2 linked regions of the Oryzias latipes genome follow. The protein of the gene in region 1 purifies or fractionates together with the protein of each later gene. This does not show direct contact. Links are inferred from orthologs where the notes say so. Each region holds a gene or a part of one and is shown on either strand. Other genes may lie near its edges.

What was found.
Region 2: the proteins of snap23 (region 1) and vamp3 purify together in Homo sapiens (affinity purification with western blotting; 6 studies listed by BioGRID and IntAct, with this or other methods). This does not show direct contact. The link is inferred for Oryzias latipes from reciprocal best matches to the Homo sapiens genes SNAP23 and VAMP3.

What each region holds. Positions count from the first base shown.
Region 1 is NC_019880.2:4,941,293-4,958,092, forward strand, and holds the start of snap23 (synaptosomal-associated protein 23), read right to left. Parts: upstream 8,790-16,800; 5' UTR 8,661-8,789; coding exon 8,659-8,660; intron 5,845-8,658; coding exon 5,730-5,844; intron 2,938-5,729; coding exon 2,896-2,937; intron 2,646-2,895; coding exon 2,597-2,645; intron 2,240-2,596; coding exon 2,122-2,239; intron 1,646-2,121; coding exon 1,460-1,645; intron 1,386-1,459; coding exon 1,241-1,385; intron 1-1,240. UniProt on the Homo sapiens protein: Essential component of the high affinity receptor for the general membrane fusion machinery and an important regulator of transport vesicle docking and fusion.
Region 2 is NC_019863.2:28,594,620-28,611,057, reverse strand, and holds the end of vamp3 (vesicle-associated membrane protein 3), read right to left. Parts: intron 9,090-16,438; coding exon 9,011-9,089; intron 8,019-9,010; coding exon 7,860-8,018; intron 7,671-7,859; coding exon 7,619-7,670; intron 7,315-7,618; coding exon 7,298-7,314; 3' UTR 5,103-7,297; downstream 1-5,102. Other genes in the region: period circadian protein homolog 3, read right to left, coding at 772-1,058. UniProt on the Homo sapiens protein: SNARE involved in vesicular transport from the late endosomes to the trans-Golgi network.

The sequences.
Region 1 (16,800 bases):
GAATCAAATAAACACAAAAAGAAAAGTAATTTATGATCTTTCATACTCCTAACTACGCAGTGTTTTATCAGGGCCTGTTTGGATGAACAGAGAGCTGATATACAGGAGATGGAAAATGTTTTTAGATCAGTTATGAGGGCACACCTGACCACCTCAGCACACTGGTTGAAAAACACTGCTCTATGTAAAGAAACCGGATGTTTTGCTCATTTGATTTAATTTTGCTAAGCTAACATAATTAACTGAAGATCAGTAAATGAAAACAGGTTGAGTCAGTGTGTTTGCTCAAAAGCCGTGGCCTTGAGCAAGGCCATTGACCTGTTTCAAAGTAATACCCGAATGATGAAACTGTGCGACACTGGACTGGGTGTCCTTAAAAAAATAAAATAAATAAATAAATAAAAACGAGCTGCTTTTTCACAAATAAAAGAAAAGCCGAAACATTGAAAATCCTCTCCACTCACAACAAACTCTGGATTTAAAAATCCACATTTTTCCCCCAGAAAGCCTTTTATTTGATCAAGTCTCCACTCCATCTCTCATCTTTCCCCTGAACGTCTGAGACTTTGAATGTCGTAAATATAAATGGAATACAGTTTCAGAACTGAGCTGCACTGCAACAAAAGATTTTTATCCTGAATATCTTGTCGGCTCATTTGATCTTTAAGCATCTTATTTTTATTTACGTCATATCACTTTTCTGGGCTTTTTAATTGATTTGGGGACTAATGATTATACAACTTTAAAGAGAAATTTCTCTTCAAATGTGTAATTCTAGTCTAATATCTAGAGGATTTTTTTTTTAAAAAAAAAGGAAAGTTCGAGAGCTTGAAATAGGATATATTTGGGGGAAAAGTATAAGAATGTATGTTATACATTTTAATTATAAACAACTTTTTTCAGCAACATCTGCTTCCGGTGAGAATTTTGATAATTTAATAATGAAAATGATAGTAGCCAATTTTGAAATGTTATTTTGTCTTAAAAGATACTTTTTTCAACTAATCCCCCAAAATAAATGATTCTAGTTGTTTTTTTCCACTTATTTTAAAAAAGTAAAACATCTTGTTTTCTCTAGTTTGACTTGCTTTAAGGACACTTGTTTGTCTGTCTTCCTTAAGGTTCATGTGAGGCTTCAGATTTTCTCTTTAGGATTTTTAAAATGTATTTATTGAAAATGTTATGAGACCATTTTCAGCTGAGAATAAAACCAGATGGTTGGTGGATCTCTGGCTCTCACCTTATCGGTGATCCTGTCGATCTGTACGTTCTGCTTGTCTATTTCATGTCCCATCGTCATCGCCATGCCTTTGAGGTTGGAGATGATCCCGCCCACCGCCTCCAGGTTTTCCTCCATCTCATCCTCTCGCGCATCATTGGTCACCCTGCAGCACAAAGCCACGTTTGTTGAAACGACGGTCGGCGGTCTCTGAACTCGGGGACCCGTTCGAGGCCCCACCTCTGGATGTACGGGCCCGACGGCGCGGCGGCGGTCCCCCTGGCGGCGGTCTGGGCGGGCTGTCCGTTGCGAGTGCGTGACGGCTGCCTGGACACCACCTTTGAGCCGTCGCCATCATTTTCCCCCTCCAGCCCTCCAGTGCCCCAGGTTTTTTTGTAACGCTGGTCGTTTTCAAGAGATGTGACTCTGTAAACAAATATAAACCGCATTTATGCGCCAAAACGTCAGGGAACGCCACACAAACAGGTTCACTAAAACACACACTGCTTTCAGGATGAGCCATTTCTACAAGATGCTAAATAAAGAGGCAGGAATCACAGAACGCCTCCTACCTTATGCCTTGATAATCAAAGTATCTCCTTCTCCAAAGTGAAAGCATTTGAGGAAGATTTGTGTTTAGAAACAACAAGTCACACAAAAGCTTCAAAGTCACACTTTCACTAAGAACTCGGAATAAAAACAGAAATGGATCAGAAGAATAAAACAGATTCTGCTTTAATGAATAAATGAAATGTTCCGCTTTTGCAAAACATGTCAATGTGAGCACGCGTGCAGCATTCTTCCTGATTCCAACATTTGGCATGAATGCAGTCCAACAATCCAACAGGACTCTTCCTGCACTCTGAGTGGCGGCGGCGGCGCCGGCAGCAGCAGCGGCGTACCTGTCGCAGGGGCAGGTGCAGAGGCCGCAGCACTTGTTCAGGTCGTTGAGGTTTTTCTCGGCCTGCTTCATGTCCTCGTTGATCTGCTCCATGCCCTCCTCTACTCTTTTGAGCTGCTCTGAATCACAAACACACTTCAACATCTTCATCTCTGCTGTTGGAAACAGCTTGCAGAGCAAAAATGGATCCAGTTTTTGTGTCATCAGAGCTAAAAGCTAAAAGAAATTCAGTTCAGAAACACGTCTAAAGCTAAAGGAACCAATGAGCGTTTCTACTTTTGTTGTAAAGTATGTTTCTGAATTCTAGTGAATATATATATATTTTTTTAAACAAAATGGTCAGGAAGCAGACCCTGAAATCCTGAGATCTGCTTCCAGGATCAAAGAGCAAAAACTTTGAAGTGAAGAAGAGGAAGATTCTGTTCAGGACCGTCTCTATTCTCCAACATGATAAACAAATGTTTATGCTGCGTTACCTCCTTGCATATCAAGCATATCCAGAGTTTTGCCCCCAGTCTCTTGGCTCTATAAAATAAAAAATGAACAATCCTTCAGAGATGATTTAGAGTAAAGACATTTGATTTGAAATTTGAAATAACAAATATGAATAGGCATAACATTTTTCCAATTACGTTCATCGCTTTAAGTGTCATAAAGGTTGAGAGGATAAAACTGAACTCTATATTTATTTGATGAAAGGAGAAACAAAAGACGCCAACTTGTCCACCATGAGTGACTTCTGCTCATAGAGAAGCAGCAGCAGCAGCAGCCTCACCTCCTCCGCCAGCTGCCTCATCCTCCGGGTGCTTTCCAGCGACTGCAGGAGAAAACATGGCAGCAGTTTGAAAGAGAGAAAAAGGATCACCAGCTAAACGGGATTCTGTGCTACATAAAAGAATCAAACATAAACTGCAGCTGGAGTCCAGCCGCAGCTCTCAGTCGTCTTTGTCAAAAACAAAAACGCATCTAATCCTTCCAAGCTGAAACGCTTCTGACTGGATGTAAACAGACACTCAAACGTAGTTATTCTTTTAACTCTTTGCTTTATTTACTGAGATATTTGATTTTTATTTGAAGGTAAAGAGGTGATTAAATAGATTGAGTTAAAATAAAGGAAATGAACAACAAAACAAAGTATTTACAAAGTAAGTAAGTATTTACAAAGTATTTAGTACAAAGTATCATTTAATTTGAACAAAGCCCAATTCAAAATGCTGTTTAAAAAAAGAAAAGGTTGATTTTTGCATTTTGACAGTTTATGAACATTCAGAACTTGTTTTATTAAATTATAAGCATTTATTTATTCATCTATAAAAATATGTTTCCTAAAATATACAACATATTAAAAGTATTTTTAAAGAACAAAAAACCTGAAGTAAACAAAAAATATCTGTTTTAAAATTATTTAACAACATCAGAGCTAGAGGGGGGAAAACAATAAATGATATCAACAAAGAGAATCAACGTCAAGTAATCAGATCCAAAAATATGTCCTCATTTCAAACAAGTTCTTTTGTTTTTATTGTGTGTACAAAAAATAAACGATCACTTAGTTTTTAATGTAAAAACTCAACTTCATTAATGAAAATTGTTCTTTTATTTCATTTATATAAATAGTTCTGTGAAATTTGTTTTCTTTTATAATCAAAATCAAATTGGTTTCAAATAATTGACAGTAAAAACGGTATTGAACTGAATCATGAACTGTAAAATAGAATTTAATATTTTCTCTGAGAGTCTCAGGAAATTCATCCGTTTCATTTACAAATGAATAAAAATGAGACTGGGCCTCGTCAACTTCAGTTATTTATAAAGAAAAAAACAGCAACTGCATCTAAGAGTACAAATAAAAGTTCAGTCCTACTTTTCTTTTTACTTTAAAACGGAGAATAAAAGTCAACTTCCTGTAATAAAACCTGTTCAGAAATGTTTACAGATTTAAAGTAAAAAATGGTTCAACTTTTGCATAAATAAGACCTGTTACTTCAGGCTTTTCTCCTATTTGACACGTTTGACATAAGAAGAAATGAGTAACAAACTGAATAAATGATGAAAAATACTAAGCAAATGGTTGATTGTTTTGAATTAGACCAGAGTTTTATGGAAATGTCTTTCCAGAGCAGACGTTCATGGATCTCTGACTGTCAGCCTAAAGCCTGACGACCGCAGCGCACATGCAGGAATGCGGTCAGGTCAGGTGGGCCCCGCCCTTCTGCGCCTCTTATTGTTAGGAAGCAGAGCGAAGCTGCGACTCCGACCGAGAGTCTGTGACCTCCTTTACTTGAACTCAGACAAATCACAGCTTAAAACGACAGTTTGTTAAAAAAAAAGATGTTAGTTGACTGTCAGAGAAGAAAAGAAGAAAATGATGGCTGCAGCTCAACAGGATGAATCACATGTTTTAACTTTAGAACTAGACAGAAAATGTTGGCCACTTGGTTTTTTACATTTGAGCTCCAGCTGCCATTTATCTGAGATTGTCCTGATAAACTGTCAGCCATGGTCAGAGCGTCTCCGAGTGTTTACCCAAAGCACGAGCGGTAAGTGGAATTAGCAGAGGGGCCCTCCCAGGTCCCCTGAATGATCTCCTGAATAAACCAGGCGGCAGCAGAAAGAGGGAAGAGATAGAAGCAAAGGTGCAGGTTAAGTCAGGAAGCAGACAAACATCAACCAGTGTGAGCTGCATGAAGGTGCAGAGCAACAGCTGACTGACGGCGGGATGCCCTCGAGTGCCGATTCAGTAATTACTGGAAGATGACGGATCGCAGAGGGAGCCGTCAGACTGAAGCAGGAAGAATCCCTCCGACGCGTCCTGTAACCTCCATCCATTTATCAGACGCTGAGTGGAAGCGATGTCTCAACACGGGTTCTTTTAGGCTCTTTCTAAAAGGCTAAAACATTTTAGATGTCGATTCTCCCTCACCGATAACAGGATTACAGAAACTATTGTCCAACCTGAACATATAGGAAAAGTCTTTCCCAGTTATCCTTATCGAAGATAAATGAGTTCATTATTAAATACGACATCCATTAGGCTGAACAGACTGAACTAATGAGATAATCATGTGTTAATAATGAGCGTCAGAGTTTGGGGTTCGTCTATCTTCCACACTTCTAAGCTGCTGAAACATTCATTTTTGGAGAAAATCTCTGAGTTTTGCTTCAGAGATGAAGGTCACGTCTCGGCGCCCCCACCAGAAAAGCCTTTGATGCAGCTCGTTTAGACGGACTGCAGGAGTTTGAGACCTGAACTCCTGTTCTTTATGCAGCTTTGGCCGTTGGATGCAACGGCTGACCACAGAGATCGTGTAAGGTGACAGAGAGCAACGCTTTGTTTAAACCGTTTACCCTCAGTTACATTAGAAACTTCTAAAAACATTGAAAAAAATGTCGCTTTTAACAATAAAAATGATATTTTACGGCGTTTCTAATCCAAACGGAATGATTTCCAACCGCTTTTTGCATTCATGCATCATCTAAACATTAAGATTGAATGAAAAATCAGACTCAGCTGTCACAGGCTGCTCATTAAATACAGAAATCTGTAGCCAGAGAGAAACAGAAGAAACAGAGGGACGGAGCAGGAGCAGGAGTGTGAGGAGTCAGCACCTCATCCGTCAGCTGGTTGGCCCTCAGAGCCATCTGTTCCACACTCATGTCCTCCATGTTGCTGCTGTCTTGTTTGGGGGCTCCTCCCGTGGCACCGAGCTCAATATGCTGAGGCCTGAAAGAAGGCCAGAGGTCATCAGGTACTAATTAGTATCCCATCGATTACCATAAAGCAGACAAAGAGGACCAACTCTCAACTGCTGAGCAGGGGACTATGGGTGATGATGAAAAAAAAACAAGGTGAATGGATTGGACAAACATTTGAATTTAATGACGTTTTAATGGAAAATTTATTTGAATGACATGACTTAAAATTCAAAGCTCCAGAGAAAATAGTATAAACATTTCTGTTGAAAAACGTGTAGCTCCCAAATCCAGGCAATGTAAACAGGATGATAGTTAAATATAAAACCAAACTGTATAAAACAAATCCTCATTTAACAAATATAAAACGGCTTATAAACGCTACAGTAACAGATTCTAAACTGCTAGGTTTGTTTCCTCACATAAATAATCACAGAAAAAAGGTAACAGGATCTGAAAAGCTGTAGTGTAATACTCTATTGTATTTTAAAGGATAGTAATTATATTAAAATCTACTATTCTTATTGTTTTCTTTTAAATAAGGAGTTGACAGTTCCTTTTTAGATTTTGTGCAACAACACAAACTGAAAAGATTCAGACAAATAGAAGAGTTATCATCTATGCACCAAAACACAACTAAATGTTGAGAAAATGACTCAAAAACAAAGAGTTTGAGATAATACACGTCATCTCGTTTGTTCAGAAGTCATCTGAACCCATACGGATGGAAAAACGGGATGCAAAACCTAAACAAATGGCTTTTGTTTGTCTTCTAAGGAGTGTTAGAAACAAAACCACAATTCCCCCTGATAAAATGTGGAGATCTTAGCAACAATGTTAATGAATGCAACAATGAAGGATCCAGAAAACTGACATGAATATGAGAAACAACAGACGTTGAACTGTCATGATAAGATACAATAAACCATTTCCAAAAATGTAAAAGTCTGACATTATAAAGGGTCTTTTAATGGCATTTTGAAACCTTGGTGTGGCTAAAAATAATACATTTTACAGTCATTACAAACTAAAATGTGTTCCTGTGAATGCAGGCCAAGCGTTCAGTGTTCAGACATCTCAACTTTTGAAACAGAGCGAGCGCTGAGAAAGTAACAGGAAGCAGGAAGGGCCGATCATGCCCGCTCACTGCAGGCTGCCTGTTCTTCATCTTTGCTTTAGAATATGAACACACATGTTAAACTCAAGGAAATGCAGAAGATGGTTTTAGAAAACGGTGATGCAGCTCACAGTTGTAAACACTGTTGAACAGCCTAGAATGATTTCCACACGCGAGTGCGGTCATGGGTGTCATTTTCTTGGGGTTTTAAACAATGGTTTATAGAAAATGTGTTCAAAAAAGCCTCCTTAGAGACACATGGTTAGTAGGAGAAGAAGTTTATTGTAAACTAAAATTAAAAGGTTTATTTCAATAAATTACAGGGAAAAATAATTCCCACCTTATGGGTTTTACATTGGAGAGGTACAAAAAAAAAGCAACCAGGCCGGAGGATTTCCTATAATCTGTCTTCCTGTCCTGTTCTGTCCTGTCCTCCCATCTTCCCCTTAAAGTTGACGTTTTCCTGTTTTGCAAATAACCTTTAAACTCGCTTCGCTTCCCATCAAAATCTGCAGCCATCCACAGAAAATAAAAATCAAGATGAAAGTGTACTTGGCAATACGTTCTGCTCCTAAATGTTGACTTATGCTGTTTTTACCCAACCCGAGAGGGTATAATTCAAGAGGGCACATGTTTAGTGTAAACTTCAAACAGATTTCTGAATTTGGCTACAACAATTTACACATAACAGTTATGGGTTTAATACCTGCTGCAGAATTTTAGCTAAAAAAAAAATGATTTGCTGGTAAAGATTCAAAGGTCAAACTGTTGGGATGTTTAGAATTCTTCCCCAAATAAATATATATTCATAAATATTCAGCTTTCAGGGAACACAAAAGGGTCACAAATTAAGGTAATTATGACGAGGCATAAATATTATCACACACAAAAAAACCCATTAGATCTAATCCATGTTCCCACAAACTGATTTCATTTCCTGTTCATGAAGTAACCCAGGCATAGATTTCTGCAGAAAAGGCCACATGGGGAATAATGCAACACTGACAAACCCACTCATGTCACTTTCTTCACAGCAACAGCAGCAAATGAAATGACCAAGAAGAAAACAGGAGAAAAACGTTTCTTGTTTTTCAACCCAAACCTGTTACTCCAGATCTTCATGAGCCTCAAAGTGACGTCTTCTCTTGCTTTAAGTCATGCTTGGTTCACACTTTAACCATTTTCCCTTCATTTCAATGCCTAAATGTTGCCTCTTTTTTCAATTTAAAACCTCATTTCTACGAATAACTCAATTTTACCACAATTGCAAGGACTTGTGTTCACAATTGGGAGTTAAACTGAATTTAAAACCAATGACATCATGGTTCAGCGTCGAAACTGAGACTCTAAAGCATGAATCTTTATTTTACCCATTTGCAGATGAAAGAAGTGGCATTATTACGATTTTTGACCCAGTTAATGGTACAAATCTGGAAGTAAAACACCCCAAAATGGTTAATCATTTCCGTATTACATATTTAACAAGCAAAAGCTAGTAGTTTTGCACCTGACCACGGTTATCTCTCAAGAAGCTGAACCAGCAGGTAAAGCAGATCACCTGACAAACAGATGATGTTTGGTTAAATGGGTAATATTAACCAAACACTCCCAAACCTTAGTTTGAAGCAAGGGGAAGTCATTCAAACAACACAAAACTCCACATTTTCACACACAAGAAAACATAAGAGTGAAACAGACAGTCTAAAAAGGTCTATTAATTCGTCTTACATGGTTGGAAGGTTTGTAGTTTTTCCTTAATCCAGGAAAGCAAACTTTTTCTCCTAGCTAACGTGTTGCTAGCCTGCTAATAGGCTAGTTCCGCTTCCCTGTCAACTTTCCACCCCAACTAAGTTGATGTGAACTAAAGTGAGACGTTTGTTGATACTCAGTACTTACTTTCAGACTCCCTTCGGAAGAGATAAAAGAGTTACCAACTCCTCCTTCCTTCTGGTATGTGGACTTTTCGCTGGTCACTCCTGGATTCCTTCACAGGCCCCACAGTGAAGTGAATAACGTAACCTATGACGCCTTTGGGTCTCGTCGGAATTAACGCTTTTCTCAAATACACGTGCTTTTAGTTATCAACAATGTACGTGTTATGCCGCGAAAAGTTATTTCATAGATATTAACACAACACATTTTTTAAAATATAGCGTATTATAAATATTATCTAACATTTTTAAACGATGATTAGCATTTTTTTACCATTTTTAAAGGTTTTCTTTGGCACCGTCCCGTCTTTCATTGTAACTGTCACAATATGCTGCCTTGAATATACATTCAAGTACACACATTTTACTTAGATATGACTTTTATATCAACTTTATACCATTTTCCGGGTTGGTTTGAAATACGAGGATAAGAAATTGTTTGGAGTTCCATTTTCCTACACACCAAGATGTCATCACTACACTGAAACTTAGGTCACGTGATCAGCCCAAACTTTGCTGATTCAGTTCATGGTGATAGTAAAAAGCAAACTTTACCACATTTTACTACTCTTTTTGATATTTTGTTCCCTATAGCGGTTGTTGTAAATGTCAGCTGTTGTTTTTTTTTTTTAAATTATTAATCTCGCTTCTCTTTTGTGTTATATTTGAGTTCATTTGTGGTCAATGTGTGGTGCTTTTTGTTTTGATAACTTTTATGTAAATTTGACTCATTTTTTTATTTCATATAAGTAAATGAAAGATTTGTGAGATGAAAACAGGCCCAATGAGATCTCTCTCTCACCTAAAAAAATGAACTTTTAAAATAACATTTATGTTAATCTAGGACCATTTTATTAATCTGCTTCATGTTTTATGCAGTTTTTAGTGTTTGGACAGCATTCTTAACAGTTTAAAAAGCTTCACACACAAGCTCCTGATGTCCTGTTACAGACTCCAGAGGAAAAACATGGCACTGCTCTGTTTCCCCACATGAGTGCAGCATTTACCCTCCACCCGTACCTCCCCCTCCCATTCTGCTTTGCATAGACGCAGACAGCCAGATATATTTCATAGTGCATTTTAGAGATGGCCTGAAACCTGAACCTCTGGCTTTGAATCTTCCGTCTAATTCTCAAGTTTAATGGTTTACACCACAAAAGCATTTTCAAGGTGACTGGAAAGACAGCCACAATATCGGCTGACAGAGTCTAAAGGAAAATTGTTTTTCTATCCCAACCTCAGCTAAATATTTTCCCTTGAGGGGTCACCTGAAGTCAGATACTTGCAAACTGGAAATTCCATGTGCAACTCCAAATTTGCACAAGCCATGCTGCAAGGCTAACCTTACCAAACGGCCTAAAGCGTCTGACTGATGACTTGCGCTCTCTCTGGCCATGTAACTTTTATAGAGTCTACATTGCATGCATTATTCAGCAATAACACAAGGCCCATCTGGACTCCTGTGAGTGTGATTCTGCAAGAGTGTGTCTGTGCATGGGTGAATGACTCATAGTTAACTTTCCTGCCATGCCGTTTCACCATTTCACGCCACATCCAACAGTGCCTGAAGAGCTAGAAATTAGTATTTCCACTGTAATTACAGCCAAGGTGCCGTGCTTTTCGCAGCACATGCGAGACAGGAAGGGACGGGAACAGAGTAGTGATGAAAAGTGGCCAGAGAAAGAGGGAGCGAGAGGGTTTTCAAGTCTTACCAAAATGATACGTTCAGGATCAAGCTCTTTCATCATGCCGTTCCTCATTAACGGAGATGGGAGCGCTGGCCTAATTCCATAATTCCTAAATCATGCCTGTTAGTTGAATATGAGGAGACAAAGGTACAGCGAAAGAGGAGAATAGATTAGCCCTCGCCTAATGACGTGTCTGAGAAAGCTGGAAAGGAAAAAAAAAAAAAGCATGATGGGAGAGAAAGACAGAATCAAAGAAGGGGAGAAGGGGTTGCCATCTGGATTCCTGGCTTTTGCTTTCTGGTTGCAGCCAAAACCAACAACGTATTGGCAAAAATTGTTTCTCCAAATTGTTTTCCTCCAGCAGCTACTGAGATTATGAAGTGATAATAGGATGTGGAAAAGAAGGTGCTGAGATATTGTCATGTGGATGCATGGACATACCAATTTTTCATCATCTCTCCAAACTAATTTCTGGCTCTGCTTCGTTTTTCCTCTCATAGGGGGCTGAGACATGGGAATGTTTGATGTCCTGCTTGATTGGGTTTAATTTTACATTGGGCTAATTCTGCCGGTACCTGATACTCGTCAGGACAGCGAAGCGGTTGACCAAGCGTGCATCTCAATATCCAGAGACAATCTCATTCCCTTGCCTCCCTTCCACTGGAATCCACTCGTTCACATTTTGTATTGAGCTCTTATATGAAGCAATTTGTTTCAAACTAGAGACATCGATAGCCATTAGCCTGCTTTGCACAGTAGGGCTAAACATGGCAAGCCAAGGCTCATCTATTATTCATATACTTCAGTTTTCCCCCAGAACAAAGTTTCAGATATTCATTTTTGCATCATGGCCCCAAAACTGACAAGTCAGGGGTTTCAAATAACACTTTTGAAACCAAGCTGACGAATGTTTCAAGCAAGCGTTGGCCATTAAAGACCTCACAGGGGAAATGTGTCTGTTTTATGTCGGTGGTGAAAACCCACTAGGGCAGTATTCAAAATCAAAGCGTTTGCCCTTGTGTTGTGTCGCGGGTAAAAATGACCCACTAGCATGTTTAGTTGTAGAAAGAAAACCCATCCTTTTCCAACTTAAGATGTTTATAACGTTCTCTGAAGATGCTCCATCATGCTAGAAAAAGTGATGCTTTGTTTTTGTTTATGTTTTCCTGTGAGCTGTACACCACTGAGGTGCAAAGATTGTTGAATTATAAAAGTATCTGAACACCAGGAAAAGTTCAAAGGCCACACACAAACTCTCTCTAATTCACAAACACACACACATACTTACACACCCTTTCTTTCTTTGTAATGTGTAACAAGAAATATTTCAAAAAAGAAATTAAGTTAAATTAAATTCACAGGTTCTTTCATCTAGCGCATATTGTAATTTAAAATTCAATCAAGCTGCTTTATTTTGAGGTTTTGGTAGGGTGGGTGATTTCTGACCCACAGGAAAAGGAGGGGAGTAGAGAGAACGTTAAGGATTAACAGTTTGAATGCTAAATCTGCATATTACCAGTTTTGCCTCAAACTCAAACAGTGTTTTTGCACAGCACATGCCAAACATTTAATAAGGAAACTAATGCATTTGGCTGGTTAACATGAAGGGACTAAAACAGTTTTACCTAAATCTCTGAGGGTCAGAAATTTCTTAAACCTTAAATTTAAGGCACTGTTTGAAATAATGGGGCATTTCATAATAGCTTAAATCTGTTAATCTGTAATAAAGAAAGGACATTTTAAGCAAAATATGTTGTAGTAATGTTGTATGTTTTGAGAAATGGTCCAAACCGTCATAATCAAAAGGAAATATGACATGTCTCTAAATACAACTTTACACATTTCTTTCAGATTATTTACAGAACCTCCAATGCCAGGAAATGTTGGACTTTGAAAAGAAACATCTAATAATGTTTGTGTGGTTTTTTTTTTATGGAAGATTAATGCAAATAGCTTTATAGCGATTCGAGATAGGAATTGCAGAACATTTAATCTAAAGTCAATACAGTAAAATTACAATTTTCCCTCATCCATGAGTGGTCCGGTGACCAATGGGACGGATACGAGTTAGCCAATAGGTGAGACCCTGGAAGGTTGACCAATCAAAACGAGAACGTGTAAAACTGTAAAATGTGCTGTTATTAAAAATCCATGTGAACTTCAACATGTCAACTGTTTCAGGAGCTTTGGTAATAGGGATTAAGGAGTGTGGGGGTTATGCCAGTGATACAAAAAGAAACAAACAAAACTCTTGCAACATGGCAACACAACTTTAGGCTTCAGTTTCACCTTGCGGTGTCCTGGGAGAGACACCGGCCCAGTTATTATATGTATATGGTTGTTGCAGATGGGACTTAAAGTGAAAGAAGCTACAATTTATAAAAGCTTTTTAGAACACAAAAACAAAGGTGATGCAAAATTGTTTATAGTTAAAACTGGATTACCTTAAAAAAAACGTAAAAGCCTTGTAAACTATTTTTGAGGGCACTAGATCATTATTAGTGTCAGAATTCCTGTTTATCTTAAAATAGAGTCACATTCTTGTTCAATTTAAAGCAATGCGATGGACACTAATGCACCAGAGAGACCAACATTTTATACGGATGCTGCAGAGACGGTTCTTATCTTTGACACTCTTTTATTTTCAATAAACACCAAAAGCAGCATTTAGTTTTGATGCTCCAGCTTTCAGGAATCCGCTGGTCAGCAAATGAGCCCATAAAAAAAACAAAAAAATTCTTACTTGTTATTTTCAGCTGCCTCATCTCCTGTCGGTTCTTGGGGAGCGGTGAGCTGCAGATGGGAACCATTTTGTGGTTTAACCCCCAATCCAACACTTCAGTGTCAAGCAAGGATCAATTCTTTTACTTTTTTTTTTTTTTTAAAGTCTTTGCTGTGCGTTTCATCCACAAGCTCCTAGGTATTGGGTAGACATTCTACCACTAGGTCACTGAGGCAAGGTTAGCTGTTTTGCTCCTGTTTTTGTTTCACGTCTTAAAAGTGCTGTTTGAGAATGTTGCCTCTTGGTAAAATGCACCACTGTAGATGAATGAAATTAGCTTTGATTTTTGCCAAAATGCATGCATTATTGCAGATTTTATCACATTGATAATCCTTAATCATTATGTGTGCTGCAAAAAATGAATCTTAAAAATGTTAGGACATCTCTGATTCAAGAAAAAAACGTCTTATTTTATGTCTTGGAAGAAGAACAAGCTTATCAAGAAAGTTTTTAACAGTGAAATGATCATATAATAAGAAAACATGTCTTTTAGTGTCTAAACAATTATTAACTTATTTCTGAGGGGCCTGTTTTTTCAGTGTGTTGTTGAAACACCCAGTTGTTTAACTCCTCATACTGCAACACACTGGCTGTCAAACCTCTATCCTACCATTACCTATTAGGTCCATTCATATTTGCCAAATAAATAAAAGTTTAATATGTAAAATCAAAACAAAAACATGTTTTTGTTGCATTAGGAAGATTTCCTCACTCAGGTGTTATTTTTCTTCTTGCTTTTACTTTTTGCAAGTCTTACATGTTTTTGTTGCAAAAACGATAGCTTATTTAGACTGAAAAAAGATTTTGTGCACATATTAAGTGGTTTTTGTGATCAGATGAGTCGCTCTTGGCAGCTGGTGTAGCACAAAACCAAAGGAAAAGAAAAGAACAATCAGGTGTTGCAATTAAAAGGGAATCCGCCATCCCTCAGGCGCCTCTTCGCCATGTTTTGTCAACATTTTTCATTCAAATTTCCAGCTTTTCCGCTCATTCTTTTCATGTGAGAGCAAGTACGGCTTTTCTTCTTCCCATGAACACCCCTGAGAATGAGTTAATAGTGTATTTCAAAAAAGAAGTTGTTAGGCATTACACTGTCAAAAAAACTTCCATGAATAAACTATCGTTAACATATTCCTGAAAAGTTCTGGGGAACTAAAGTCAGGTACAGCGTTCGAGTTTTTCTCCCATCAGCTGCAGGGAATGCAACAGAAACGAGAAAGGAAAGGTTATCAAGCCATCCGGACACCAGGTTGTCAGAGGTTCAGATCAGCCGTCGCATCTCCGAGGGGGAAACAGATGAAGATTGAAGAGGGTGATTTCATCTGAATAATTTCATGCCTGAACTGGCAAAGCTCAGCGATCGCCGTTCCAAGAGTTTGACGTCAGAAGACGATTGACTGTGCAAATAAAGAGGCTGCTGGAGTGCACGTATAAACCCAATCATCTCCCCTTTGAGGATAAAAAAAAAACACATAATGAGAGGTAAGTCATAACTCTGAAGAAAGTCCACTGAATCGGCTCATTTTTCTTTTTTTGAGTAGACAAAAAGACAATCTTTATTTGTGTGTTTCTCTTCTTTGCTCTGACTTCTGTGTTTACTTGTTGACTGACTTTAATGGCTAAAATCAGCTTCCACAAAAACACCATGAACAGAAAAAAAAAAAAAAGACAAAATCATACATGACGCTCAGACCTGAAGGCCTCCTACCACTACCAACCATGGATCACAAGCCAGAGAAGAAGAAGAACAATAGAAGGACAGCATCAGTGGATAGAAGAAGAGAAAACATTATTTTTAATCCTCCACAGGCTATAACCCATCACTGCATCCCACAAAGGAGTAATTAACAGTGATTTTAAATGCTACAAAAATAAGATGAAATACGGGGAAAAAAGCTTTTTCCCTTGTTTGTGTTTTCTTGTGTGTCTTTGTACATGTGTGTATGTCCATGCTATGTCTTTGTAAATGTCTAGAGCTGCACTTGTTTCTCTACAATGTCAGTAGGTGTTGGTATCTGGATGTGTGTGTTCACAGTGCTTACTCGTCGAGTCCCAGACCCTTGATGCAAATGCTCTAACTCCCCCTCTCTTTGTGCCGTTTCCCCCTTATAGTTCATGAGTGCTTCCACCCACACCCTTGTTTGTGTACGTGTGTATGTCTGCCTGCATGCATGTGTGCGTTTCGGTGCACTGCCACACACAAGCAAACACCTTGCTTCATTTGCCACAGTCTTAACGCTTCCCTTAATGGTTTAACCCGCAGACCCGGAACTAGCTTCAGTCATTGTTTACGCCCATCGTGCTCTGACTTGGGCTCCAAGGGCCGATTTCCAGTCAGTTTCACCCTGCGGGTCCATTTATCTTCCCGGCTCGAGCTAATCCATCAACGGCTGAAAGTCAGACAGGGGAAACTGTGTGAGGAGAGAGGCGGAGTTTTCCTTTTTGATGTCCTAAAAAGTCCCAGGGAGAACGAGAGCGGGAGCAGGGCGCTTCCCAATTTTTTTTTTCCCCATGAAAAAATATATCATCATTAGAAACAACATTGATCTTAAGGTTTCACAGTGGTCATGCAACTTGAGTGTCACCTCCTTTTTCCCACGTTTCCATTCTCACTTTGACTCCCCAGACCCCACCTCCAAGTCCCAGACCTGTTCAGTCCTGCCAGTCCGAGAGAAGGTACTGTGAGTGACCATAGTCACAATAATACACAAAGACATAAAGGTGGGTGACCAGTGGTACATTCATACAAGAGAAAGTCTTGGTCCAAAAGTCACCCGAACCAGTCGACATCAGACGGTGCTGGAGGAGCCTGTGCTGCCAGGCCGTGATAAATGCTTTGTTTAGAAACATGAAAAAGACAAAAAAAACAAAAAAAAACAAGCCCCACCTGAAAATATACATCTCTGACCAGAGTGCAAGCCCACCCCCCCGGTGCTATCATTAGCTATGATTACGCTTGTCATCTCAAAATGAAATCGGCTCTTCTCTTGAACAATAACAGTAAGAACATTTCATTTTTTTTGCTTTTGGAGGTTGCAAAACTTTGAGATTGGTGCAAAAATGACCTAAAATGTTTGTGCATCCACGTCTGTTGCTGAATGCATCGGCACTGGTGACAGGGGCGCAACTGGGGATGACAAGTTTAATCATGGCTACAGTTTCACGCCAACGACGACCAGAGTCTGCAGTCAAATCAAACAAGCCCCCCCTGATATGAAGACCTTTCCTCCTCTGAGATGTGCTGATCCACCCAGAATTCAGAGATCGGAGATGAAGGGCAGCTTAGCCCTTGTAGCCATGCCTGGGGAGGATGTGCATGGTTGGGGCTATGAAAGGGACTGGCAGTGGGTGTAGTCAGTGGTCAGGTGGAAGTGGAAAGATGGGTTAGAGGGCTTCCCTGAGGGGTGGTGGATTTAGAGGGACAGCCAGCCCAGCCTTCATCCTGGGTTTGGAGCTCCACATAGTCAGG
Region 2 (16,438 bases), on another chromosome or scaffold:
TTGCTGAGCTAAATTTTTGCTTAAAATGGTTTTAGCAGCATTTGAAATCAACACCAGTATTTCCAAATAAAATCTTGCGATATTTTATAGAATAGATTTTTTTCCTACACTCAAATATATTTTATTTACTGATGCATCATAGTTGCTATTCATCATTGTACCAAAACTTGTTGGTAACTCAGAAGCTTGGGGGAATTTTTTTATTTTCTCTTTTTTTTTGTTAAAGTTTTTTTTTTTTTGGGGGGGGGGGTAACCAGTGTGTGGAGCTTAGGCACGGGATTTGCCAATTTATCACTAAAGTAATAAAAAGAAGTTTCGTAATGTCTAATATCTATTTCATTATTAAAGCAATACATCTGCCTGCTATGTTTACCTTTGATAAACACGCTTTTCTGCTTTTCTCTTTTACATAAAAAACACCTCATCAGGTAGTACTTTGGCATTAAAATGTGACAAAATGTAAAAATAATAAACAAAGAAGTATAAAGTAATTACCCTTAAAATAATTGTACAACACAGAACTACAGCTGTTAATGTGGCAGGGTGTATTTAAAGAGAATACTTAGTAGTTATCATCAAAAGGTCATTTCACGTCTATGTAAGAAAGCATTAAAAATGTTAAGATCTTAAAATAATTTTAAAAATATTCTAGGATATTCACAGAAGCCCAAATTTAAGGGAACCTTAGTGCTGGTCAGTACAACACAAATGTCTGTCTTTCAAATATTGACCTCATTAATTCTTAACAGTAATATGAAAGCATAGCGGTACCTCTTTGAAGAAGCCACAGTGGATCCTGCAGCACTTCCAGGGCTGTGATTGGCAGAAGAGGATAGATCATGAGAACCACTCGTCATCTCCTCGTCTTCCTGCCCCAGTTCTCCTCCCGAGGCTCCACTCTCCTCTCCCCTGAGGTGCTCAGGATGAGCCCGCCCATCCTGGTCCACTGATGCTTCATTCTCCTCCCCTAAACCCTCTGATGTGGTTGACAGAAAAGCAGACTTCTCTCCATCCAGACCACTGTCACCCCCTGGCATCACCGCACTTTGATCGCACATTAATGGTATTTTGTCCAGATAGAGTTGCACTCGGGGGTCTTCATGTGTTCAGAGAGTGGAATAAGTTCCATGTGGTGTCTTCAGTCAGTTGGTGATAAATCCTGGATGCACTGTCAAACGAAAGAAATGATAAGGATTTGAATTGAAATCGTTTTGAAGAATTCATTAATTTATAACATAACTGAGATCAAAAAGCAATTCATTCATTTTTTTCTTAGAAATGTAACGGCTGGCTGCATGTGGAAAGATGATTTGCGGTGTCTCCTCAAAGCTAGTAAGTACGGTTTTAAACCCAGCTGAGTCTAAACTGTGGTTTTTCAGGTTCTCCAGCTTCCACCTGCAGCCCAAAAGTCATGTTCCATAGCTTTGAAACATTGTGCTGTTGGAGCTAGTGTGTGTCCGGTGGTTGTCTGTCTCTGCATGTGGCTCTATGCTGCACTGGCAACCTGTTCAGAATGAAGCCAAACCTCGGGTCCAGCAACCATGTGACTTTACATAAGGTGAAGCAGGTATGGATGGACGCATACCTTTTTAGGTTTAGGGTTGAAATTAATTTAAGGAAGTTTGAGCTGCATTAAAATACTCGTGTTTTTTGAAAACATGAATAAAAAGGACACATTGCAATAAAAATCATTATACGTGTGGCAGTAAAGGTATTGTTCATGCATGTTAAAAAAAAAAAAGGTTTGGTTCTCAATAAGAGCGTAACGATTAATTCTATTCCAAATGTGTTTTATTTGTGTAATATATTATCATATACATGGATGCGTTTTACTAAAAAAGGCTTAAAAATAGTATGGTATAGGCCCTTTAAATTTGTCATAGGTTGTTTTTTTTTTTTTTTAAATATAAATAGTTTTAAAAAAGAAGGTCCTAAAATTAAAGTTGGTACTACAAAAACTGGCTGCTTAACATTTTAAAAACTACTGTCATCACATTGTCTTGCACCACATTGTAACAGTCACTTCTTTCTGAAGTAATTTCAAGACACTTCTCTGCTAAAGCTTGATGTACGGTAATATAGATATCATTTCTCAAGTTGCTTTAAGAGCTGGACAAACAAACACAAGGGGATTTATTACATTTCTGTTGATTTTTTATTTTATTTGAACAAACATGAATATTTATTTTTGCTATTTAACACTTTTTTCTCGCCTATCAACCTCTTTCTTAGCATTTCTTTTATACTACCGTCTGCTGCAGTGCGAATGGTATTTCTTTAAAAGTAAATGACTAAGTTAGGGAGTGTCTAGATCCACCCACGACTACAAAGTGGGAGTGGAAACCCATGGCTGTCCTCGTGTGTTTCATCACGTGATTACAATAGACCTGGCAAAAACAAAATACACCCAAAGTCCTGTTTTTTCTCAAGACCAGTTTAAGTGTTTTCATCTGGAGCGTAATAAACCATCAAGCAATAATGCTAATGTGAACAGGAAAAATTCAAAGCTCTGACAACTGTCACATCGACAGGACAGATAGTGAAACCAATGAACATAACTCAAAGTATTTATCATGTTGTCACTCCAGCATTACATAATCTTAAGTCAGAGTGTGACGATGTGCACTTAGACAAAATATTTGGCTTGTGTTGACACAAAAACCCACAAAAAGTACTTTTGGTCCTCTGATATTTATTTATGCAGTACAAAAACAGGCAGTTTTTCTTCACCATTCTCAAGAGATTGAGCTCTTCCTGCCGTCATATGTTCCTTTTAGAGGTACATATATGCATTTTTATAACAAGTCAATGCAAAACTGTATGCTGCAAGCTTTAAAAGAAATAGAATAAGAAAATAGAATGTAATATAAAAAAAAGAACAGCAAAAAAAAACTTACACAGCATCTGCTACAAGCTACTACATAATTTAGTAGAGGAAGTCAATAAACAGAATTAAAAGACTTTATAGCTTTTTCCCCAAACTGAAATAAACAGCCATCAGACATGTGTAACAATGCCAGAACAGTATTTGCAGAATTTACTCCTGCAGTATTCAAACTTTAAAGTCCCATTACCATCAACTTTTGATCTATGGTAGAAGTGTTCGCAGTGGTCTTTTAAATGTGATTGTGCCATTTGTAGGCAAAACGAAATAAAAACGTGTCGTTTTTTTAGACGGAGTTTTCAGCAGAGCAGCAGGAGTGGAGTATGTCTTCCCTCATTTCCCATCATCCCTTTGTTTACACTCTCTCCCACTAGCTTACAGCCCCTAGCACCTACATCACAGCTACAGGCTTTTTCCAACCGCATATTTTCAGGTGCTCCTAAATCACAACGATTTGAATAAAGAAATCCTCAGAAATAAAACTTTAAGCTTAATTTTATTTATTTATGTCCTTCGTCATGGGAAAAATGCCACAATCTTCATTAGAGTGGCATAATAGTAATCTTTCAAATAAGCTATCAAATGACTAACTTAAAAAAAAAACATATTTCACCTGTTTTAAGTAGAATCAGCTTGATCTTGATAACATCAGATCTTCTTTTAGTTGTTTAAATTAAAGTAAGTTAATTTATTTATAGCAACCCTTCAATTATAACTATTTAAAAAAATAGCCTACATAGAACAATGTGCAAAAGCAGACTAGACACCAGATGTTCAATGGAGGTCAGCATAAAAAACATACAGACACCGATGCCCAGTTTATATGATGTAATCGAAAAGAGGAGGAAAAAAAATCCACTCTCAGCAGCCTACAACCGGTAACGGCTGAAAACAACTCTGACACGCATTTGACGGGGCACAAATCCCTCCCACTATGAACCCACTAACCCCCTTTAAACACAAAACACTTGGCCCTGAGCGTGCGACACAACACGTACTAATAATCATCGAGGCAAAAACCTGATTTTGTTTACAAAAAGAATCGCACGTCAATGCAACATTAATCTGCAAGGAGGAAAAAAAGACACGCCCCCTCCCTTCCCTCCGTACATAAATTAATAAAATATTATTTACAAATTGTATTTAGTTAGCCTAGGTTGATACAAGATGATGCAAAAGTACAGTGGGACACAAACTCTGGAACATTTCCAGCTTTGGTTATGTTCTGCTATTTCTGCTAGCTTGACTGGTTTAGCCGCCGTTTACTTGTTTCGGCAGACATAATGTTACTAAGCTAATAATATATATTAACATCACCAACCAACGACACTTGTTCAGAATTGATTTACTGTGTACATTATAATAGCAAGACTGGGTTAGCGGTAAAGTTTAAAACAGCAAGCTTGAACTTGTTTTGTTTATTATAGTCAATGCCACCTCGCTAACAACACGGGGTTAGGTGTCAGCTAGCTCGTGGAGTTAGCAAGAGACACTTGAAAATATAGTTTCTGGGGTTAATATATTTACCTTTTTCGGTCCAATTCGATCTGAGCTTCAAAATACAACAATTCCACAAAACGACGTCCCGGATAGAATCAAAACATTAAATGCTTTTAAGTTTCCCCAGAGAAAACGTCATCCATTCCGAATCGCTTGACACATTCGTGCAACGTGAGTTTGGCATCGCGTTAACTCCGCCCAGTCTACGCTAATTGGGCAGGCCAAACTTACATCTGGCGCCTGATTGGATGGAGACAGTTGTAGTGGGCGTGCTTATCCCCATAGTTGTTGGCGGTTCACGTGGATCCCCATGTTACACAACAGGGTGAAAACATGTCAACTGCGCAGGCACCAACCCCTATGAGTCTACATCCACGCCCCTGCAAATGCATAATTATGAACGGAGCCGCTGCTTTGACTCTAATAAAGGATCGATCGATTAAAAGATTTAAATATAAAAAACAAAATAAAATGGAAGATTCCTGACATTGCACACAGAAAAAGATTTAAATTAAGTTGTGTTGCATTTCATAACTAAAAAAAAATGAGTTTGTAAGAGTTATCTTCTCTGCAGGGACCAAAATCAAACTTTAGCCATCTTCTGGAAGTGAGGAGACATTTCTTTATTGTTAGACTCCAAACAAAAAAGGAGGGAAAAATATATATATATTAGAAAAGATTAAGAATTTCCATCTCCCAAAGAGAAATAACATGAAAATAATTTAGAAATGACTTTATTAGTTTTTATTCAAACGGATAATTTAGGCCACAGAAGAAAATTGCACTTTTTTTCCAAACATATTCCCAGTAGAGTATACATTGGCGAAGCTCATGAGTTAAATGTAAATTAATTGTAAGAGGGAAACAGCAGATTAAAAATAGGAAAGCATGTAAGTGGTTAAAAAAAGGCATATAAGAAATGAAATGAAATAAGCATTTCATTGGTCTAAAGGTTTTATTTAAGGCAGCAGTTTATCTATATTTGATAGAAACAAGGAAAAAGAAAGAGCAAATCAAACTGAAGATGAAAAAACTAGATGCTCTAAAAATATGCATCAAAACATTAACATTTCAAAATGAACAAAACCACAAATCCAGTGTTGGTGTAAGAATGAATACCTGAACAGGGGTAGAATGTCAAAAAGGCACGGTATCAGTAATTATCTCTGTTGGGAAGACTTTCAGACTGGTCTGAGTTAAATCAGACCTTGAAAACCTTTTTTTTTTTAGTATTTTAAAATATGGATGTTCTTGTTGTTCTCAACGCACCATCAACACGAGACAGTGTTACAAATCTTTGAAAAATGTATAGTTGCCCATTAAGTCTGTATGAACGCTGAACCGAAGGCTTCTCATAAGTGCAGTGCCAATGAGGCGTTTCCAATATTTGTAAGCCCACCTGCCCAGTTGGTCTATTTGTCTTACAGACCGTCCTCTAAAAAAGCATTACAGCACCGAGTCGCCCTGAACTGAGCTGCATCGTGCAAGTCCAGGTTCATGGTTTAAGTCTGGGTTTGCCTTTATATTTTTACTTTTAATTTACTTTTGCTACACCTCAGTAACTTTGAATTTAGTACATTCGTTATGAACTTTTTATGCAGGTTTCATTTTTTATTTAATTTATAATGTCCTTGGTAAAGATAATATTTATATATAAAGAAAATACATATTAGTAGCAACATCAAAGTCCCCACCAAGAAATAAAATAGGTGTCATATTCATTGAGTTATTGAAAAATGAAAGCAATTTAATAACAAAATGTAATATTACAAATATTTTTTCCAAAAACCAGGTTCACTTGAGTTAATGAATGCAAGGCTTAAGCACATTTAGAAAGGCACTGTTGTTTTTTAAATGGCAGCAGTTGGAATATGGCTGTATTTTTGGCAGTTCTTCTTCATTGAGAAAAAGAATATTATTTTAAAAGCTACATTCTAATACTGTTATGCCTCGATATTTCACACACAAAAAAGTGTTGGATACAATCTAGAAAATGGATAATACGTTATGTGGACTGTTGTTATTTTGAGGCTGCCCGAGTCGGGCTGTTTGGTCTCGGCATGCAGGCACTCGTTAAAAAACAAGTTCAAACCAGCTGCACAGCAAAGGGAGTGGTGTCCAAAATAAGCTGAAGAAAGACAGGAGTGACCACAAGGTTAGTTAGCATCCTATTGAAGAAGATTTAAGGTTAAATTTCTTTTTTAAAAGAATTTTCTTACAAAGAAATGAACTGTGTGGAAAAATGAAGCGACGCATTAGATTTAGCTATTCACTTCTGAACTGTAACCATTGCCAAAGATGGCGATATCTAGAAAATAAAAGGGAAGCCCTGCCGTTAAACGTCTTTAAACTGGTAAGAAAATTAGCTCTAAACCCTACCAGAACATCTTTGTAGGCATGTTACTTTTTTAGCCTTCCAAATGTTATACAATGCTATTAATAAAATGTGAAAATGTAAATATATACCGAGTTAAATTTACAACAATAACCTTCATACCAGTCTTGAAGTTCAAATCTATGTGTGTGCATGCTTGCCATAGAGTAAGGGTTTTTATTTCTTATAGACTTTAGAAGAGTTTTACTTCTTAACAAATTTTTTGTAACTTTTCTGGCAGTTTGTTTTGGAATGTGGTATAGTTTTTTTTTTATTTTAAAATGTTCTGATGTCATCCATGGTGCATTCTTTTAAAGGTGTGGAACTTTGGCAAACCTCAACTCTGGCACAACCTTAATACACGTACATAAATTCAAAACAAAGCAGGACAAGGAATGAAGACCCCTGCAGATAATTCGTGTGGAGGTCAGCAGCCACCAATGTGAGATATTCTTTGTGATTTATGTGGCATGATGTTCACACACTGCCCCATTTCTCTGCTCTTCATCATGGCCTCCACGTCTCATCCGCTGGCTGTTTTACGTGCTAGACCAAACTACAAAGAAAAGGATAGAAAAGTTAAGACAATGCATTTACTGGGCATGTCCTTCTAAAATTATAGCCATTTAGAGCAACAAAGAATTATAAATATTTAAAACATTGAATATTATGGCTTGTAAAAGAAAGATTGTCACAAAAAGTCAGTACAAATTATTTTTTGTATTCAAACATAGTTGTTAAGTTGTAAAAAAGGATCGAGTACAACCTAAAAATATGCTGATTTGACAGATTCTTTAAATCAGCTGACATAAAAATACTAACAATTCTGACTTTTTTTTTCCCGATGTCTTGATACTCACTAATGATGATGACGATGATGATGACTATGACAGCTATCAGGATGGCCCACATCTGCAGGCAGAGAATCGAGCGCCACAAAAATTAAACACATTTAGGCAAACAGATCATTTGTCAAACAAATTCGGTTAATCTGTATTATTATTGCTGCTTCGATAAAAAAAAAAAAAAAAAAAAAAAAAATCAACAACTGGTGGTTTGTTGAATCTGTGAAGTACAGTTTGGGGCAAAACTGAGAGTTACCTTGCAGTTCTTCCACCAGTATTTCCTCTTTAGCTTAGCAGCACTGGTCTCAAACTGGGAAGCTCCAGCTTGCAGTGCATCTGCTCGGTCATCCAGTTCCGACAGTTTCTGATCACGTTCCAGCACTTTGTCCACATTAACACGCATGATATCCACCACCTATGAAGAACAGACAACAAATAAAAAGCAAAAAAGAACAGTTTGATGTGCTTTTACTTTGGATGTTATGCAAGAAAAAATGTATTTGAATTGTCAACTACAAAAGATTTTGAACGAAAAAAAGATTTTTGTTTGTTTGATTCTAACTTTCTAACCTGATGATACAACAGGAAAAGCAAAACATTCGTATTACGATGGCAGAGTCACAACGTGTTTACAAGTTAGGTTAGAATAAGATGGAGACAAAACACTAGTAATCAATTTCTAATTTAAAAAAAAAACTGACCTTATATTAATAATAAAAAATAATCTGACAAACATTCATGTCCTTACTGTGTTCTATATGAATATGACCTATATGTTTCATTGATTTACAAAGCCAACTGCCCCAGCCCACTGCAGCAGAGAACAGGAGACGCATGCATGCAGGCCTTACATAACCATGAAGGTGGTGATTACATAAATATCTGGCAGCTAGTTGACACTACGCTGCAAACTCAAGTTAAGGTTTTTGAAGGCTTGGTAAATCTTAAAGGGCCCATGCGAAGCACTAAAGAGTGCCAGGTCGTTTACATATCTGAAACAACTGCAAAGTTTTAATTAAAACCCTCCTGGCATATAAACTGAGATCCATGGGAAGAAGTATGCAGAAAACATCTATCATAGTAGGTAGAGGTATTATACTTATTGGAAATAGCATGAGGGCTTCATACAGTTTAGTGGTTAGCACTCATGGGGAGGAGGTTCAAATCCCAGCTTGTGTATGGTTGTGTAGCCCTGTTGAATTAGAGAACTGTCAAGGATGTACCCCGCCTTTGTTCAACAGTTACTGGATAGGCTCTTACAACCCACTGACTCCAAACAGGATTAGGCAGGTTTATAAATTGGATGGATGAAAACTGTGTGCAAATTTTTTTTCTAGGCACACAAACATACACACACGAGGTTGATGTATTGCCCATCTCCATGGAAAAGACAAAAACTCGTCCTACCTCATCCACCTGAGCCTGCGTCTGCTGCAGACGCTTGTTGCTCGAGGCTGCCCCGGAGCCTTCTGGACCAAGGGTTGACCTGATTCAACAAACATTTATATGATATTTTTTATTTTAAGATTTTTTTCTTTTAGACAGAAATTGGTTTCACATCATCAATTTAGAAAATATTCAATCCACATCTTGAATGTCAAAGGCCTTTTTCTACTTTGAGGGCTTTGAGAAGATCTCTTAGTTCCCTAAAAAGCAAGTCCATTATCTTTAAGACTTTATTAAAACACATTTCCTTCATTACTTCTATAATTATAGACACTTTTTCAGTTTTAGAAACTACATTCGAGACTTTTTATACTAAACGTATGTGAGCTACAATCTGCAATAAATTTGTCAATACATAAACAAAAGGGTGGAGAACAATGAAAGGCAAGTTCACACTCAAGTTCAATTTCATATCGCTTTATGTAACTAAAGGGGAATTTTCCCCAGATGTCCTGCAATAATACTGCCACACATTCACACAAATCGATGTGGGCATGACAGTGTGTCATGTGGAAAACAGAAGGTCCTTTTACAGTGTTTCCACGAAACAGGTTGTTCAGGTACATCAACCTAAAATAATAATAAAATAATAAAAACAACCCCAGATTTCTTTTTAAAACCATTGATATTTTAATAAACAAAGACTTCAACAAGTCCTCCATGCCATCATCTAATGCTGCATGTGAGGACTTCGCAGACCACTTCATGGGTAAAATCAATGCCATAAGATCAAACATTTCATCCATGCAAAACACTGATCTTAACAGACCTCCAGCATTGTCTTTACCAGAAGAAACACTGGGGAGTTTTGTCCTGGTTGATGCAGAGATGCTTGGTCGAGTTGTATCCCAAGTAAACACTACAACCTGCCTTTTAGATCCCATTCCCACTTCACTTTTTAAAACATTTTATGGATTCTTTGAGTCAGAGCTTTTAAATATAGTAAATTGCTCTCTTCAGACGGGGGTCTTCCCCTCTGCCTGTAAGACGGCGGTGGTGAGGCCCCTTCTGAAGAAGAGTCAATTAGATCCAAAAAATCTGGATAACTATAGACCCGTATCCAACTTACCATTTTTAAGTAAAATAATAGAAAAAAGTGTCGCTACTCAACTGCATGAGTTTTTAAATGCCCAAAAAATTTTAGAAAAATATCAGTCTGGTTTTAGGAAAAGCCACAGTACAGAGACGGCTCTTTTAAAGATCGTTAATGATCTTAGATTAAACTACGATTCACAGAAACTTTCTGTTCTGGTGCTACTGGATCTTAGTGCCGCTTTTGATACAGTAGATCACCAGATTTTATTAGACAGACTTAGTAGTCTAGTGGGCCTTTCTGGAAATGTTCTTAAGTGGTTTTACTCTTACCTGACAGATCGACACTTTTATGTAAGTATGGATATGTGCTCTTCAGGAATCCACGAAATAAGCTGTGGGGTTCCCCAAGGGTCAATTTTAGGGCCAATACTTTTTAATTTGTATATGTTGCCTCTTGGGGAGGTCATCAGGAGACACGGCGTTGACTTTCACAGCTATGCTGATGATACACAGCTTTACATCGCCGTGTCTCCTGATGACCTGGAACCTGTCAACACTCTTTTAAACTGCATTTTAGATATAAAGTTGTGGATGGCAGAAAATTTCTTAAAGCTCAACCAGGACAAAACTGAAGTTTTAATCATCGGTTCTGAAGACAAGAGAGAGATGATTTTACCACATCTTCATAATTTTAAACCTTCTCAATGTGTGAGAAACCTGGGCGTACTTTTTGACTCTGAGCTAAATTTTATCCCACACATTAAAAATGTCGTTAAGACAGGATTTTATCATCTCAAAAACATTGCCAGAGTCCGCCCGTTCCTCTCTCTTGCCAGCACAGAGGTACTAATGCATGCTTTTATTTTCAATCGTTTAGATTACTGTAATGCCCTGCTCTCTGGTTTACCCAAAAAGTCTCTTTCAAACTTACAACTTCTACAGAACTCAGCGGCACGAGTTCTGACGAGAACCAGAGGGCGGGAACACATTACACCGGTTTTAAAATCGCTGCATTGGCTCCCTGTGCGTTTCAGGATTGATTTTAAAATTCTTTTAATGGTTTATAAATGTTTTTATGGTCTTGGGCCTTCTTATTTAAATGATATTCTTTTAAAATATGAGCCCTCGCGGACCTTGAGGTCTTCCGGTACTGGCCTCTTAGTTGTTCCCAAGGTGAGGACCAAAACTTATGGTGAGGCTTCGTTCTGCCATCACGGTCCTCGCCTGTGGAACGGCCTTCCGGAGAGCCTCAGGGCCGCAGAGACAGTAGAGGTTTTTAAGAAGAGGCTCAAGACCCACCTTTTTAATTTAGCTTTTAGTTGATTTTAACTGCTAATTTATTCTATTAGTTTTAGTATAGGCTATTTTATTTATGTATTTATTTTAATTTTATGCATCTTATTTTCAATTTTATGTTTTTTTCTTTTTTCTTTTTTATGTTTTTAATTTTAGCATCTTATGATTTTAGCGCCAGTGTTTCTTGAGGGGATCTTTTCCTCCAGGGATTGCCGGCTTGGTCAGTGGTTGTTGCTGCAGTTGTTGCCCTTGCTGGGGCGGCTGGGGTCTAATTTTACAGCTTTTGGCTGTGAGGGGGACCCCGGTGTTGTCCCGGTCTGGGTGGGCACTGTAGCGATGTTCCGGTGGCCGGGCTGGCTCCTGGTATGAAAGGATTCCCAGATACTGTTTCCTCACAGCAGAGCTAAGCCATACTTGTTTATTTATTTATTTATTTATTCTTTTACAGTTACATAGTCATATTTCATTGTACGTGGGAGCCATGGGTCATGTGGTTTAATGGAGGGGAGTGGGAAGGGTGAAGGGTGGGTTGGGGTTTTTATTGTAATGTTGTGTGTTTACTGTTTTTAGTGTTAAAGCGCTTCGAGCTGCACAAAGTGCATGAGAAGCGCTATTTTATAAATAAAGTTTGATTTGATTTGATTTAAAATATATAAAAATGAACAGATAATTTCCAAAAATACTTATAATTTTGGACCTTGCTTGGAAAAAAGGATAACAGCTGCAGAGATAATTTTGAATAATTGCAAGTTAATTTTCTGTCTCCAAGTTTGTTTAGAGATATAGTTGTCATAAGTGACTTTTTCCAAAGGAATTCAATAGAAAGCTCAGCAGGTTGAGCAACCAACTGTCTGTCAATCATTTGAGGTAAACTCTCAGGCTTGACAGTCAGTAAGTGTGGACGACTAGCAAAGATGGCTACACGCATTTACCAAGAACACCAATGTAAACAAAGCATGAACACACCTAAAGCCTCTTTTCTGCTTCTCCACCTTATGGCTGAACATCAATTCATGGTTCGAAAATTAGATTGCTGTAAATCTAAAATTCCCTTTTCTGCAGATGCTACCTAATCTACTGAATATTCATTTTCTGGTCATTTGCTTGTGAAGAAAAAAAAATTAACTTTACAATGAAGTAAAAAACACAACTTTAAACAAAACATATGGTTTCTTTTGCTTAATATGATGTTATATGCTCGAGAAATAAATCTATTAAAACATCTTATTAAATCCCATTACGTTGCTTGTCATGACTGTGCCACCTAAATGAAACAACTAATATAAATCAGGCAACAATATTAAGGAAAACTAAAGACTTCAAACCAATCGTCGTCATTTTGCAATCTTTTTGTTATACGATGTGATAAAAGTCAAATCATAGAAGCCCAACAGCAGTGTCAGAATAGATCCACAGTATGCAGGGCTCCAGACTAACTTTTTTCACTAGGAGCACTGTGGCCCCTGAATGAAAATTTTAGGGGCACAACCTGAAAATTTAGGGGCGCATACCGTAAATCAACATGCAAACCAGATCTTCTAATTTCCACTGTATTATAAATACACTAAATAAAATAAATAAAGTAAATAAATACTTTAATTATAGATGCAAAAATTACAATCTGCTTTTTCAAATTCAGTGTCAGATTTTATTCTGCACTTTTGAAGATGCAACAAGAAGGTAAACTGACAGCAGCATCGCTGTCATGACAAAAAAAAATAGTAAACAATATACCATAAATTTAGAATAAAAAAAGTTTTTAGTAACAAGTGATTACCGTAATAACCTTTCGGTCATTTCACAGTTAAGAACAATACTTAAATGTATGTAAACATTAGGGGATGGAAATTCATGTTGGCGAAACCAAATAGGTGCAGCCAAGATGCACAATAATTTGAGATCACCCAGATGGACGTAACGCTGCACAGATCACCTGGTGTGAGACATATTTTTGTTTTTGCTCTAACATCACCTGTCAATCAAAACCAAAATATCACCAGAAAGGGGCGGAAGCAAGACCCCAACCTGACCAAACACAGCTGGAAATTTAGTACTGAACTGACTGAAAGCTGCCCTACAGACTACAAAACAATGCATTATGGGACATGCGTCCTGATGGGTTTTTGTAGTTCACTGATCAATTAAAATAATTTAAAATACCAACTGATTAAAAAAAGGCTACATACATCACAAAACATTGAAATAATTATAAAAGATGTAATATCACAGATCGTACTTAGGGGGAGAGGCATAATTATTAAATTGAATGTTAAGGACAACTCCAACTTCCTGTTGCAGCTTCGCCATCTCCCGCGGGAGCGGTGTGCTGTCGTTACAGCCGTGCATGAGAGCCGTGGTTTGCTTCGCGAGTTTGAGACCCCTGCTGTACACTCTGGCACTGGTATACTAGCCGCAGGTCGAAAGAACGAATCAATAGTTCGCTAGCTGTTCATAGCTCAGACGCACATATCAGGTTGTGATGATTTGTCTCCGTTTCCTTCCCACAGACGTTAACGCGCACTCGATTATCTCTAGGCCCCGCCCCTCCACATATTTTAGCCACTTGCAGTGACTTTCCCTATTCTTCTCACACGCATTGGCCGCCTCAGGCATCACTCAATGACATGCGAGTGTGCGCTCGCGTGTGCTCCAGTCTCACGAGTGTGTGTGTGTCTGTCTGCGTGCGTGTTGGCTCGTGTCTCATTGATGATTTCATTGCTCATTTCATTGATCATTGACGGGCCGCTTCCACGTTTAATGAATAAAAAAATACGGAGGGTGGGGGAGGCAAATTTACTGGTCGCGCATGTGCGACTGGATGTAAAATTCAGTCGCACAGTCTCAAATTTTGGTCGCAAAATGCGAGCAAATGGTCGCAGTCTGGAGCCCTGGTATGTTTTCAACATTTTTTTGTAGCCATTCTAGGTTTTATGCAGAGAGTGTACTCAAGTCAACAGCAGACCTTGGAGACGGCATGCGTCTATTGTCACAGCAGCAGTGCAGGGTGTTTCAACTCATGCCACCACTTCGGTTTTGCTCTCCTGTAACCTTTGTTAACCGTTTGAATCAGTAGTTCCAGTTTCCCACCAGAAATCCTGCCTCAGCTAAGTCATGACTTTTTCTTTGCAGCCCATGTGAGCATATCAGTGCCCACTGACAGTTTGTTGCCTCTGCAGCAACAATAGGAATGTGTCAAGAGTCCTCCTGTGATATTTGAATTTTAAGAAAAGGGGGAAAAAGTGAGACACTTTTTAACTAAAATAAATGTAATTTAAAGATAAATAGAATTAAAAACTGTAAAAAAAACAACAACATTATTATTATTGAGTAATATTGTGTAATTTAACAACAAAAATATAATGTTAGCAAATGAATGAATGCTACGAGTGTGTGGTTCAGCACTTGGAAGAAAAAGCTAGTTTCCTCACACTTAAGTGTAAACAAATCATTAGTAAAAATCATTCGTAAAAATCTCAAGTTACAGCACAAACTACTTCTACATAAAAGGATATAAAATGAAAATCAATGTCTGTCTGAAGCTTTTTTCTAAAAATCCACTAATGAATCTAAAAAAAAAGCAAATCTGTGCAATTTAAAGAAAAAACTAAAGTTTTTCTTGAAACTACAAAAACGTCTGAACTCATCCTTTTCCAGGAACAAGACTTTTTTGTCAAACATTTTGGTTGTTTTACTGATAACAGCTTTTAAAAATTATTTCTTGATGTGGCCCACTGTTGAACCACTTTTTTTTTTAAACAGAAGAGAAATAACTTGAAACTGTTGCTTTAAGGGTTCCTCTGAAATTATCAGATAGGAGAAATAGAGTTTCAATGTTTGGAGAATTTTAATCTGAGGTCATGAGTGTTTAAGAAACCAGCACATCAGTCATGAATTGAGCATTGCTGCAAGAACTATCTCTTCAGGAAATAATTTAGTGAAAGATTAGGTTTTTACAGTTTAATTGTACTTAAAATATTTACATTGGTTAAGTGATTTGTAGAAATACAGCATTTTAAAGAACGTTTAGTGTAAAGCAAACACCTCCACAAGCAAAGAGATCTTTTGGGAGGATATTCTTTTTAATACTTGGTTGTTCAGATACAAACAATAATCAGTGTAAAGGGTATTATTCTTTTAAGTAACAAAAAAGCTCCACAAACACGGGAGAGCTCTTAAAACCAGACAAGATTTGATAATGATATGGGATTATTTCATGACAAAATATACTGGTTTATCTAAAAGATACAGTCGTCAAACAAATAAAATGTAAACACAAAAATAAAGGAAAAGACACAAGAGGAATAGAACTCAATCAAACTGTCGTCACAAAATTTGTTTCAAAAACATCTTAAGAACTGGTTCAAGACGCTCCCACAAATAATGCCTGTTTACCTTCTTCAATCAAACCATGCCATCATAAATGTCAACAAGTTAGAAACAATGTTTTTATGATTGTATAGTGCTTGTGATTGTCTCTCCTGGTTTTAAATTATCATTGTATTGTTACCACTTAAGATGTTTATCAATTCCTACTGTTCTATTATATTTGTATTTAGTTTTTACATATTGTTTATACTGCTCTTTTTTATTTATTTATATTGCATTTTTACTCTTTTGCAAGCTTGTTATATACTATAATTCTACTTTTTGTTCATGTTGTATTTTTGCTGGAAATTTCACATAGTTTTAAGGAAGACAAGGTTGGTACCAGTCCAAGGACTACTGATGAATAATAGCTTTATGATGTTTTTTAATGCACAATATCCCTGTTAAATAAACAGATAAACGAACAATTATTTAAATAATATGTCCCTCATATTTGTTTTTTCTAAACAAGCAACAGTTTAAAAAACGCTCCGTTTCATCTTTTATAGAAAAAATAATAATAATAATAATTATTGAGGTCATCATCCAAAGTTAATATTAACTTACAAAAAAAGTTGTATTTTAGTTAAATCTCCTTCCAGAGAATTTCTACTGCTGAAATTAAATTAAATTTGAATGTCAGTCACCGTTCCCCAACTCTGTTCATGAATATGTCAAACAAGTCTGACTTTC